Linked DNA regions of Cricetulus griseus. The protein of the gene in region 2 purifies or fractionates together with the protein of the main gene of each other region. This does not show direct contact. Links are inferred from orthologs where the notes say so. Each region holds a gene or a part of one and is shown on either strand. Other genes may lie near its edges. The genes, in order: Slc12a2, Clgn, Tctn2 and Ptpru.

Evidence for each region.
Region 1: the proteins of Clgn (region 2) and Slc12a2 purify together in Homo sapiens (co-immunoprecipitation; 3 studies listed by BioGRID and IntAct, with this or other methods). This does not show direct contact. The link is inferred for Cricetulus griseus from reciprocal best matches to the Homo sapiens genes CLGN and SLC12A2.
Region 3: the proteins of Clgn (region 2) and Tctn2 purify together in Homo sapiens (affinity purification with mass spectrometry; 3 studies listed by BioGRID and IntAct, with this or other methods). This does not show direct contact. The link is inferred for Cricetulus griseus from reciprocal best matches to the Homo sapiens genes CLGN and TCTN2.
Region 4: the proteins of Clgn (region 2) and Ptpru purify together in Homo sapiens (affinity purification with mass spectrometry; 3 studies listed by BioGRID and IntAct, with this or other methods). This does not show direct contact. The link is inferred for Cricetulus griseus from reciprocal best matches to the Homo sapiens genes CLGN and PTPRU.

What each region holds. Positions count from the first base shown.
Region 1 is NC_048595.1:181,064,464-181,068,035, forward strand, and holds part of Slc12a2 (solute carrier family 12 member 2), read right to left. Parts: intron 2,758-3,572; coding exon 2,602-2,757; intron 1,166-2,601; coding exon 1,066-1,165; intron 1-1,065. UniProt on the Homo sapiens protein: Cation-chloride cotransporter which mediates the electroneutral transport of chloride, potassium and/or sodium ions across the membrane. Plays a vital role in the regulation of ionic balance and cell volume.
Region 2 is NC_048596.1:159,037,910-159,041,481, reverse strand, and holds part of Clgn (calmegin), read right to left. Parts: intron 1,573-3,572; 5' UTR 1,564-1,572; coding exon 1,420-1,563; intron 262-1,419; coding exon 185-261; intron 1-184. UniProt on the Homo sapiens protein: Functions during spermatogenesis as a chaperone for a range of client proteins that are important for sperm adhesion onto the egg zona pellucida and for subsequent penetration of the zona pellucida.
Region 3 is NC_048597.1:104,314,684-104,318,255, reverse strand, and holds part of Tctn2 (tectonic-2), read right to left. Parts: intron 3,139-3,572; coding exon 3,015-3,138; intron 2,060-3,014; coding exon 1,918-2,059; intron 1-1,917.
Region 4 is NC_048595.1:21,492,372-21,494,914, forward strand, and holds the end of Ptpru (receptor-type tyrosine-protein phosphatase U), read left to right. Parts: intron 1-524; coding exon 525-660; intron 661-849; coding exon 850-912; 3' UTR 913-2,007; downstream 2,008-2,543.

The DNA.
Region 1 (3,572 bases), on a different chromosome or scaffold from region 2:
AACACCCACAAATTCTCCTTCTAAAGAGAGCAATTCTTTCTTGAAATGTATCTCCTCTTCAAAGATATTTTCTAGAACAACGTTGTGTATATTTCAGAAGCCAATGAAAGGTTATGTATGACTTGTGACAGCTAACCAACCTCATCAATTTAAGAAATACTATTTTATGAAAATACTAAGTATAAACAGGCTAAAATTTCTTAGACTTTATATGCATAAATATTTCTGAATACAGAGAAGCATCTCTCAACAGTGTTTTAATATCTGGATCTAACCCATTACTAGCAATGTATTACAGAAGTTTCAGAGATGACTAATAGACTAATGACAAAGTCATTTCCCAAGGGAAGTACAACGCACGTACTCCTTAGCCAAAAACACAGTCTTACTACTGCAAGTAGTTTCCAGTTAGTTGCTTAGAAATATGAATTCAGTATTGTTTAGTCTTAACAAAATTATAAAAATAGGTTCATCAAAACAAGTCTACGCCAGGCATGGCTGGATTCAAGCACTCAAGCAGCAGAGGCAGGCGGATCTCTGTGAGTTCAAGGGTAACCTGGCTTATACAAAGGGAGTCCCCAGCCAGCCAGAGCCATACAGTGAAACCCTGTCTCAAGCAAACAAATAAAAATTCTTATGGGGTCAATTCCCGTAACATAACCCACATAACAGTTCAAAACTATTTGCAACTCCAGTTCCAGGGAATTTAATGCTCTTTCTAGCCTCTGTGGGTACCAAGTGTGCAAGTAGGGCACAGGCATAGATACAGGTAAAACATGCATACACAAAAAAAATTTAAAGAAACTTATAGATATATAACATGAATGCTTACAAAGAGAAAAAAAAATATTTTTCTTCAAATGACAGTTCCAAAACTTTCATCACTTTTTCTAAGGACAGCATTTTTTTTTGTATGTTTGGTTTTGAATAATTAACTGTCCAAGACCATCCAAGCAAGACAGAATATTGTGTACTATTCCATACAGAATGTTACTGAAAAATGAATGGTTTAAGAATTAACTGACTAGTAACCAGAGGATGCCTCCATGGTGCCTGTTCTCCTACCTGAAGTTCTTCACATGGTCTTCCACCCCAGAAAGACGAATGGAATGCTGCAGTGCGCTCAGGTAAGTCAGGGCTTGTGTGGAGGACCCCCAGTTCACATCTGTGGGAAAACAGAGTCATGCAGTGTGATTCCAATGGCAACCATTTCAAACCCATGAGACAAACAGCAAACTGGGCAGAATTTTCATGTTTATAAGTCAATTGCTAAAGTAAACTACTATTCTATAACTTTGAATAGTTCTAGTATATAGAAGTACATTAAGACTATCATCAGATCTGTCATTGCATTTGAAAAAAGGCATAACTTAATAAATGCATGATGATGGCACTGTAGACATGTTTGCATAACTCAAAACATTCCCAACAATAAAATATTTAAAAATTATTCATTATGTAGCTGAAGACCTGAGGGGACACACTTTAAGAACAGTAAATATGTTCAAGCTATTTAAACATGAAAACGTCCTCTACTATTGAATAAAAAGGTTGGGCCTTGAATGATTTTTAAAAACACATTAATGTATATTTAATAGTATTTTAGAGGAACATTTGCTCCTAAAAGTTAAAAATATACCTCCCTTCTCCATTCATTTCTAGAGTCACCATCTGAATTCAAAAGTTCATCATTTCATATTCAGATTACATTTCATCACTGTTTAGAATTACTGTACTGTAACTACTCATCTTCTGATTTATGCCAGTGGACCAAACTCTCCTACCTTTTTTTGCCATATCTTTTTCTATATACTGAACCAATCCTAACAGCCCTTCCCCTCAAACCTTACACGGGGACCTTTCTAGACATCATCAATGTAGAAGATGACAATCACTAATTATTTCTCAGTTAAGAACATTTATACTAGCTGGGCAGTGGTGGTGCACGCCTTTAATCCTAGCACTTGGGAGGCAGAGGCAGGTAGATTTCTGTGAGTTCCAGACCAGCCTGGTTTACAAAGAGAAACCCTGTCTAAAAAAAAAAAAAAAAAGAAAAAAAGAAAAGAAAAAGAAAAAGAAAAGCAAACAACAAAAAAGAACATTTATATTTAGTTATTTTGGGAAAGATACATCTTTCCAGTGCTTGAATTCCATCTATACAGAAGTTCTAAAGATGACAAGAGAATATATATATTCTACACACACACACACACACACACACACACAGAGAGAGAGAGAGAAAGAGAGAGAGAGAGAGAGAGACAGAGACAGACATTTGGCTAGTAGTTACTACAGTGCTGCAAAATCTGGAACTTTCAACGTAATAATTTTATAATTTTAAAACAATGGAAGTACAAAAGAATGTTAGTTTATTACTTTTCTTAAATAAGGTTAGTTATATTTAATTCATGGGTACAAATGAAATTCTATAGGAATTAACACTAAATGTACTTCAAAAGCAAAAAATTATATGGAAAGAAGGTATTATAAGTTTTACATGTGACACCTTTTCAAATATACAAAAGATGCTTGAGTAAGAAGTAACGTAAAAACCTGTTGACATTTTCTAGCTTGAAATACTAAATACAAAAGACTACTGACCTGGCTTTTTGTAGGTGACATAAATGTAGAGTCCAAGAACTATCACATATGTGAGCAAGGCAGCCCACCAGTTAATGACAAACATCACTATGCAACAAAGAATTGCTCCAATAAGAGATATCCACATGTTGTAATATTTGAATGCAGGACGCCATCCTAACAAGACAGACAAAAAAGTCACCCAGATTTTTCATTTGCTTTATACAGTGGCACATAATTATGTATAAAATAGCTTTCATTATGGCTGCCACACTCAGACAACTTTAAATATTAAGTACAAGGCTAATATCTAACAGTAAAGTCAATGACTGTTATTGATCACAGCTGGTTTTGATAATTCCTAATGACTGTGAAGATAATATTTTCCCTCTTAGTGCATCTTCTCAGACCTTCATTCAACACAACCTTTCAAAAATTTAAATCAACCCACCATAGTGAAAACTATAGCAGCATCCTACAGAGGAAAGGCTTACCCCTCAGTGGGGCAGCTGTACACTCTGGTCTTCACCATGATATACTTCCATGTTCTAATAAATATATAAAGCATTTCAAGCAACCTACCCACATAACAAAACCTTGGTGTGAATTTAAGAAATTCATACCATTGGTATTTGTTAATTAAAACTACTCATAAAATGCTTTAAAAGACCATGCTTTAAACTTGTCACTAATGGTTAGAAATATTTAATTACTTCAACAAAATTTCATTTTGAAAGTAAAACTGAAGCTAAAGCACTGTGTTCATAGTTCCTTTTCCTTTTGAAAACCTCACATGCTATTTAGCCTGTTCTGAGAAACTTAAATCCTTCTGTACTTTCCATTCTTTTCCTGATTTTCAACCCTGGTCCACTTGTAACAAAAGCCCCATGGTACTTTTTCAGTTGACAGAGCCCCCTTATGTTATAGTTCCACAGAATTCACTGTGTAAAAATCATGCTAGGGGCTGGCACTTAGGCTCATTGGTAAAAACG
Region 2 (3,572 bases):
AATATCTACCCCAGAGAGCAAGGAAATGCCATGTGCTTCCTTTGCATTCTGAATTTGTGTCTGTCTTTGTATAAATTCATAGCTTTAAATTATTCCACAGTCACAGGAGAGCTAATTCTCACAGACTAATAGCTTCAGAAAACCCATCAAATTGAAGAAAATGTGCTCTTGCAGGAGTACTCACCCAGCCAGCCTTCCACTGTCAAATGTTTCTGTAAAATATACTTCTCCTATAGGTTGAGGTGTCTTATATATAATTGTCTAGAAAAGAGATTTTTAAGCCAAAGTTACTCATTTTTGCAAATATCTGAAGTCAGCCTGATTGTTCGGAACCTAGTACACAGTACACATGGGCAGTAGAGATCCCGGCTGGCATGGGCTCTGGTTGCAAAGCTCATGTCTTAGTAATGTCATAATGAAACCTGTTATTTTGTACAATTGATGTCTGGTAATGAAAATTTAAGTGTTTTTTCCAATTTCTTGTCATCTCACCAAATATACTTATGAGTGGTGAGCACATGTCAATTTTTAAGTGTGAACTTTTAAAGACCCCTGTAATAGATGTTTGACCCAGGTGATGGTTTGTCAAGCATTGCTTTGTAAATCACAGAACTAAGTTTCAAAAGAAATATCTTTGCAGAGACTAAAATTTAAAGGGGAAGCAAAATAGTTACTGCAAACCGATAATAACATTTATTTGCATGTTAAAAACCCAATAAGATGAGATGAAGCAAAGGAATCTGTGAGAACTTCCTGTTTGTTACTTGGGCCCTTTAAGCAGAGGCTAGCATAGAAGGATGAATGATTTTTAGTTATCACAGTATTATATGGGAATACATTCAATATGGAGGCTCCAGAGGATGGTTAAAATAGATCAACCAAAATCTCTGTTAAGTTCCCAGGCTCCCGTCAGTCACCACCTCAGGACATACACTTCGACAGTGCTGAGGCATAGCCCTGGCTCAGCCCAACTAAAGTCCACCTCGTTACTCCTTCCCTTTCCAATCCATTGTCCTTGTGTGCATTATCTACCTACAGAGAAATAAACAAAAGCTGCTTCCTTTACTTCTTGAAGAACCACAAGTTATGGCACCTTCCATTTTGTCTGGAAAAGTCTGATATTATCAGAAATAGGACTAATGGTCCTTGTCTTTGTTAAAGAACTTGGTCTTCTTTAACCAGTGAACTCCTGTTTTGGCAACAAAAACTTCCCACATACTCATGGAACACAACTGGAATAGGTCCAAACAAATGTTTGCTGTAGGCGCTCTAAGAACACAACTGAAAAAAAAAAAGCAACATTTCCCTATGCACTGAGAAGACCAACCCTCTTAGAAGAGAAGGAAACCTATCTTGAGGGACCTGTCACTCCTATGACCATGGAAGAATAGCTTATAATTCACTTCTCAACCATCTTACCCCTGAGGAAGGGTCGTCTTCTTTAATAGAACTCTCTTCTGGATTTTCACTGAAGTCTTCCACATCAACACCATCATTCATAAACTCTGCATTAACAGTGATGAACAGAAGACCCAAGCATAGTCCAACACTTTGGAAATGCATATTGACTATCTGTGGAATTAAAGCAGTCATTGAAAAATCAGGCAAGGATGCCATGTGGTAAGAACCATAGGGAGAAATAGTTTCTCCTTTACTCTGGATGTTTCCATCACCAGCAACATTATTTAAATTAAGCCTTGAACAAATAAAACACCAACTTAAAATGTGCAGTTCTAAGACTTCTTCTGAAACCAAAGAGTTAATGGTATAAAAATATAAAGCTGTCAGCAACAATGTCTATAAATGCAAATAATGTTGATTCATTGAAAAGGAAAAAAAAAGCTATCATGATTCCTAAATTTTCACTTATATTGTTTTAAATAAATAATGTAGCTTAAGTATATACAAAATTAGACATTTTATAATTATAAAGCTAGAGTCCACTTACATCTAAACACCCAAAACTAAGGGATTTTTAATCATACATTTAACATTTAATAGTGTTTTGCCAAATCAAATCCCATGCTGTAGAAAGCTGTCTCCTGGGGCTCATGTTCTTTTAAACTCACTGTTCCTATAATTCCATGCTCATTACACAATTATCTGACCACGTGTCTTTTCAAACACTGAATAATTGGTGTTCCTTGTGCTATAAGAAATGCCAAATACAACCAACCTCTCTTCCTCTTATTGATTCATGTAATATCTTCTTGCCTACTTCATTAGCATATATTAATTCAAGATGTCTCCCATGGTGCCAACAGACTTTCAAGTAGTGTTGGGCACTGAAACAGTTCAGTATCATTGATTCAAGAGTGGCCATACAATAACACATCATCATCATGTATGCTACTCTTTCCCCAAAGCTAACATCAACATGGGAACATTTTTTAAAGTAGATTCTTAGAACTGTAAAGCTTCTCAGATAATAGATAGAGCTATGGACACATATGGGCCCACTTAAGAAAGATGGGGCTGATAGAGATGGTACTACAGTCACCAGCATTGCTGTGATCAAAAATGACCATTGAAAACCACAGAGACTGGAGAAACTGGAATCCTCACACATACCAACAGAGGTGGGGAATAATGTGGCAAATTTCAACATGGCCCAGTGATCCCACTTAAAGATAGCCAAAATAAAACCAAAACTTATATCCTCACACATGCTTAGATATAATCCATAGAACCCATTTCTTGTATCAACTCAAATGTAGACTGAATCAAGTGTCCATCAACTCATGAGTGTACAGACAGCTGTCATCTGAAGAGGGGTGTACAGACAGCAGTCATCTGAAGAGGGGTGTACAGACAGATGTCATCTGAAGAGGAGTGTACAGACAGATGTCAGCTGGAGAGGAGTGTACAGACAGATGTCAGCTGGAGAGGAGTGTACAGACAGATGTCAGCTGGAGAGGAGTGTACAGACAGATGTCAACTGAAGTGCTCACACCATGGAAAAGCATCTAGTAACAGAGAGACAGGATCTCATACAAGAATGCATGAACACAAAACCATTGCTCTAGAAAATCTGGAAAAGCCAGTTAGGGAAAATTGTAGATGTACCATTTCATGTAGAGAAACAAGAAAACCTGAGAAAACAAGAACTGGACAATAGCTGAGACACCAACTAGATCAGGATTAGGGGGGCAGCTAGTGGGCATTTAGGGGAATGAAAGTCTAATATTGGAATTTGGTAATGGTTACCCAACCCTATAAATATAATTACACAATTAAGCAGTTCAACTTGATAGTACACAAATTATATCATTAAAATGGTTATAAAACATCACAAAATGCATTGTTATACCTATTTCAATGGACACAACCCCTTTTCAGATCAAAACTTTAGATGAATGTCTGGGCCAGAAAACCTTGATTTCTTCTAAATGTTACTGGCTGCCACTCTAGTGTTTACTTTAAAAATGAACATTTTTAAAACCACTAAACAGAAATTTACCTTAATAGGCGCTTTCTATATTCAAGTACTGCCATCTTTATGGACAGACAGACAGACACACACACACACACACACACACACACACACACACACAAATGTAAAAACTTTTAAA
Region 3 (3,572 bases), on a different chromosome or scaffold from region 2:
TCCTTGCTGGTGTCTCTCCAAAAGAGCGCATCCTTCTGCTCCACCACAAAAAAAAAAAAAAAAAAAAAAAGACCACTCCAAATCCCTCCCTACTCCTTCCGATGCATCTCTCTGTCTCTTCCAGACACCCGCTGTTGCTCTATGATTATCTTCTAGTTGCTAACTCAGCCTCCTGACCCAAGGTTAATTTTATTTAATTAATGCAAATGCAAACTCGGGGTTCACAGTGTGATCAAATTTCCCCCAACAAATTTACTTCCATAGCGACATGTGGTTTGCCACAGTGCCACTCACCTACTCACAGGAAGCTTATTGAGCTAACAAGAAGCCAGACTTTGTGACACACTCCTGCAATCCCAGGATTCACAAGACAGAAGGATCAGGAGTTCAAGGTCACTATCTCAAAAAGGAAAAGAAAAGGGCTACCGTGCAACCATGCCTGTGGTGATTATCTCCTCACGCTCTCTCCCCCTCCTACATCATCAGCTCCCAGTCCCTCACTAGACCTACAAAGAGTCAGCACCAGCACCTGTGGTGTTACAAAGAGTCAGCACCAGCACCTGTGGTGTTACTCTGCAAGAAGAGCTTCGGTAAGGGTGGAAAGTACACAAAGCAGCCACTTTGGAAGAATCTGTATTCCCTCAAATCATCAAGTAAACTACATGGCATGACAACCCCACTCCATATCCCATAAAACTGTGTCCCCAAATGCTCACTCCAGCACTGGTCACAAAACCAAATGATGGCAACATGTTAAGTATCCATCAGCCTACAAATGGACAAAGAAATGTGGCTGAGCCATACAGTACAATACTCCTTAGTCAAAAAAAAAAAAAAAAAAAAAAAAAAGTGGCACAGATATGTGCTTTCAAAAGATGATGCAAAAGTTGGCAGTGGTGGCGCACACCTTCGATCTCAACACTCTTGAGGCAGAGGCAGGTACATCTTTGAGTTCAAAGCCAGCCTGGTCTACAGAGTGAGTTCCAGGACATCCAGGGATACATAGAGAAACCCTGTTTTGAAAAACAAATAAACAAACAAACAGAATTAAAAAGATGCTGCTAAGTGAGAGAAGCCAGATGTGAAGGCCACAGAGCAAAGTGCAAGGAGCAGAGGAAGCCCAGGGGGAGTGAGGTCCTGAGTCAATGTGTACTTTGACATGAGCAACTGGCCCATGGGAAATTAGCAGACATGGGCCAGGTTCAAAAAAGAAAAGAAATGGTGAAGCTTTCTTTGGGAGTCTAAGAAGGAGTGTCTATAAACTGTTCCTCTGTGTGTGCAGAGACTGGCAACTGTGACTTCCTCCTGGATGCTCAGAGTCAGGGACCACTGCCTGTAGAGCCTTCCAGAGACTAGATAGCCTCCCCCTGTGCTGTGCCTAATACACACTGAGGTTGCAGATTATCATAGCAGTAGTTGGAGAACCTGACTGGACCCATTCCTGTTTCACAGTGTGTGTCTATTCTTTCCACAGTTCTTCCCCACCCCTATCGAGGGTTCCAGGAGCCAGCAGCAAAGAAATGGTTCCATCCATGTGATATACAGAGACAGACAAGAGCTCAGTTGCTCACTGCTGAAAAGATGCCTGCTCCCTTTGTGGGTATTGAAAGGTCTGGGGCTCCTCGAGAGAGTAGGGTACACAGTATTGCACAGAAAGTCGATGGCACTCGAGTGACATTATAGAGATTTGACTTAACTGACAATAGAGATCTGGGGTGGGTGGGGCTTAGTGATTGAACACTGGGTTCCATGCCCAGTGCACAGAGGAAAACACCGACCACATGTGCAGATGCTATTCTGTCAGACTGAACTTTTCCCAGGGAAAACACCATTCTCAACCAATAGATGAGCCATCACCGATGCTGAGCCAGAGGCTTCCCTATTAACCACACCGGTCTAACCGCAAAGGCAGCCTACCTCCCGCAGTGCGGATCTTCACGTTCTCAGGGACAACGCCATCTTGTTCTTGGTACACTTCCAGATCGATGGTACATTTAACATCAAAGTTCCTCAGGAAAGCCACTGGAGCACTGTGCAGACACTGTCCAGCTAGGGACACCTAAGGGTGAGGAACAAAGATGGTACATGGAATTCTTCTTCCTCTCTTAAAACCATTCTTTCTGCCAAGCGTGGTGCTCAAGCCTGTAATCCCTGCATTTGGGGGCGTTCAGGCAGAGCTGCCCTAAATTCAGGACCAGTCTAGGCTTCAGTATAAGACCCTACATCAATGCCACCCTACTCCAAGTCACTTTCTGCTGCTCACTGCTATTGCTAGACATTGTCAACAGCGACCAACTTTAGAGAACCAACAACTGGAAGCCACTACTCACAGTTAAGTGTTCTCTAATACACTCGGGGAAGGTCCCTGGCCCTGTCCACTAACAAGTAATGACTATATTCGGCCGCGCTTCTCCCTCATCACAACGTGAGTTCTGAGGGAGGTGGGAAAGCCAGCGCCCCACGTGGAATAACCATGAACTCTAGTGCTAAGCACACCTCCTGCCCCCAGACAGCTCCAATGATATAAACGGGTTCACAGGAATAACAAACTGTCATGCACCCCACGCTTTCCTCCCACAAGCAGTTTCCCAATAATGACGGATGTAGAAAAAAACAAAGACTTCACATAAAACTTTCTAACCTTAAAGATGTGTCAAACACTCTTATACACAGTCACATACTTATAGCACCTCAGAAATTGCTGGGGCTAAGGATGTAGCTTGGTAGAGCACTTGACTGGCATACACAAGGCCCCTCAGTACTGGCTCCAGTACCACAAAAACACAAAACACCAAAAGGGAATGAAGTGGAGACTGATCACCCATCATCGCCCACAAGGAGTCTGCACAGAGACACCTCCTGTGTTATTATACACACTGTGACTTAGCGAAGGCAGAGGTTAAGAATGAGTCTTTCCCATCTAGGGACTATTAATAGTTAATGTACAAGAGGAAAATAAGCTGCTTAGCGGGAGATTCTTATGGATATACAACACTAGTTAGATCCAAGTTTACCTGGGGGACGGTAAAATACCCCTGTGTGGTCATGATGGGATCGCCTTGTTTGTAAGTGGCATCAGCATAGTCTCTTAGATGGAGGTGCAGATGGGCTTCAAAGGCAGAGTCGTGTCTGGGGGAACTGCAAGTCCATAAGATAGATTATCCATGGGCCCTTAGGGTGTTGCTTAGCCTGTACATAGGCTGAAGTTCAACCCCAGCACCGTTTAAAAAAAAAAAAAAAGATGATCAATAACCCTTCAACGATGATCTGCTGAGATGCAAATCACCCTTTCCTCTTTGCTTTGATATAGGGCCTCATGTAGCCCAGGCTGGCCTCAAACTCTCTATATAACCAAAAACAGCCTTGAACTCTGATCCTCCTGCCTTTGCCTCCTGGGTGCTGGGGTTTCAGGGATACAACACAAACCCCAGCTCTTTATTTTTTATTCACAGAGATCATAGTCATAAATTTTTCACCTGGTGGTGGCGACAGCAGCAGTAGACACCTTTAATCCCAGCACTCGGGAGGCAGAGGCAGGTGGATCTCTCTGAGTTCGAGGTCAGCCTGAGAGA
Region 4 (2,543 bases), on a different chromosome or scaffold from region 2:
TGCCGCAGGAAGCCAAGGGGTGATTAATCTCCCATTTCGCAGGAGGCTCATGTTGGGTCACAGGAACAGGGGCAAGTGGAGGAGAGGATCCCTGGTGACCACAGCTAGGCTCAGTGCTTGTGTTTGGCTGTGTATCTCCATTGTTGGTCCTGGCTGGTCTTCCCATCTTGCTTTGGGGCTTGTTTGCCTCTGGGCCTTCCCTTCTGTCATTTTCTTTTGAAGTATGGTTGTATCTTTTCTCTAGGAATCTACAGGCCAGTCCTTTCTGAGGATATCTTCTGATATGATGCGTGGTTTTGGATATCATTCTCAACCCTGAGCTATCTTTTTAGCTTTCTGGTCCTAGGGCTGGCTTCTGGGTTCTCTTCTCATCCCTCGGCTCCCTAGTCCACCCTCCATGGCTCCTTAGTGTTACCCTCACCTTTGGCCTCTCTGACTTAGCCCCTGCCTTTTGATTGCCTAGCTCCACCCCTCACCCTTGAGTTTCCAGGTCCTGCCCCAAACCTTTTCTGTGTTTCCTTTAGAAACGGGGGTGGCCGAAGTGGTACCTTCTGTGCCTGTGCCACGGTCTTGGAGATGATCCGCTGTCACAGCCTAGTGGATGTTTTCTTTGCTGCCAAAACACTTCGGAATTACAAGCCCAATATGGTGGAGACCATGGTGAGGAGCCATGTCCCAAGCACAGCCACTTCAGCTCCCATCCAAGCCCCACCAGGTTCCTTAGTACCTACGCACTCCTGTCTGGTCCCCAACTTTGGGTCTCTGTTCTAGTCCTGGGTTGTTAGAATATCATCCTCATTTCCCTTTCTCCAGAGGGTGGTCAGAGCTCAAGGTGCTCTCTTTCCCCAGGATCAATACCACTTCTGCTACGATGTGGCCCTGGAATACCTGGAGGCTCTGGAATTGAGATAGCAGGCGCCTGGCCTGGGGCACCCACTGAGCACCCAGGGCGTGGCCCATCATCCCAGACTGGAGAGGAGGGCCTGTGCCCCCAACTTTGCTCAGCCATAATTCTACAAGGAGAACACTGGAGTGGACGCTGCACTATCTTGGTGGCCCCCATGGGCAGGCTGCGGGCCAAGGAGGAGCTTTGCAAGACTACAGGACTGCAGCCAGCCCCACCTCCAGAGGGCCTTGCAGACCTGTGCTGAGAAACCTGGGACGGTGACACTGGCCAGAACAGCCAGTACTGGGACCCCAGGCCAGGCCCCTCCACTCCATTCCAGTCCTTGGCAAGAAATGAATGAGGGCTGCGAGAGAGTGTTCAAGGTTTGCACTCAGTGTGGCCCCCTTCTGCACATGGTGGAGGCTCACTGGGCTTGGCAGGGGCTGAGTCCCACCTGGCTTAGCCCCTGAGAGTCCTGAAGCTGGGACTCTTCACCGTCTTGCCAGTGGGACACGCTGACCCTCCTGCGGCTCTGTTCTCCATCCCACTGCCCCTGCAGACCCGGGGGTGCTTTGCTCGCCATGCTTTCCTACTTCTGCTTCTGAGCTTCCTGCAACAGGGCCTGCGCCTCCCTCCTGGGCTCCATCCCTGCCTGGCCCAGTATGTGCAGAATATCTCCTCAGCTCCTTCTTTCCTAGCCTTCAGGCCTCCATGGCTCAGTCCTGCTCAGCGTGGGCCTGTGACAATCCACAAGGCTGAATCCCAGCCCCCGGGGTTGAGGTCCCTGTGGCTCTTGGTGAGGCTGCCACTGGGTTGAGGCAGAGTAGAGCAGGGCTGGTGACAGCTCCTAGAGTTCAGAGGAAGAAGGGTGCTATGGGATGGAGGACCAGTACTTTTTTGTTGTTATTTCATTATTTTCTTTTTTCTTTTTTTTTTTTTTTTTGATGGGAGGGTGGGAAGTACTCTTTATAATGGGGTAGGCCACACCCCCATTTCGTGCCTCAATTTCCCCATCTGTAAACTGTAGATATGACTACTGACCTACCTCACAGGGGGCTGTGGGGAGGTGTAAGGTAATGTTTGTAAAGCACTTTGTAAATAAACGTGCTCTCTGAATGCCACCCGGTGGCCGTGTGTGTGCGTGTTTGACCAGCTTGAGGGGACAGTGTAGGTCAGAGGCCTAGATTCTAGGCTTGGTTTGGTTTTTCTGTCCACCAGACAGCAGAGATATGGACCAGGGCATCCCCACTCAGAGTCCCTCCGAGGAGGTGGTTCCAGGGGACGCTGGTCCTGTTAGATACGCACCCCAGTAAGTACCTGACAAATATATACCTGATGAAGGCAGCTTCCGGGAGGAAGGGGTTATTTTGGGTTACAGTTCAAGATAACAGTCCACCATAAGTGAGTGCTCTAGTTTGGCTTCCGTGGCTATGATAAACATCGTGGTCACCAAAAGCAACTTGGAGAGAAAAGTATTTATTTCTTCTTAGATTTTGCAATCCGTCATCGAGGGAGGCCAAGGCAGGAACCCAGGGAAGGAGTTTGGGTCAGAAACCAAGGAGGAACACTGTTTATCAACTTGCTTCCAGGCCGGAGTTCAGCTATCTTTCTCACATAGCTCAGGCTTGCCTGCCTAGGCATGGTACTGCCCACAGTG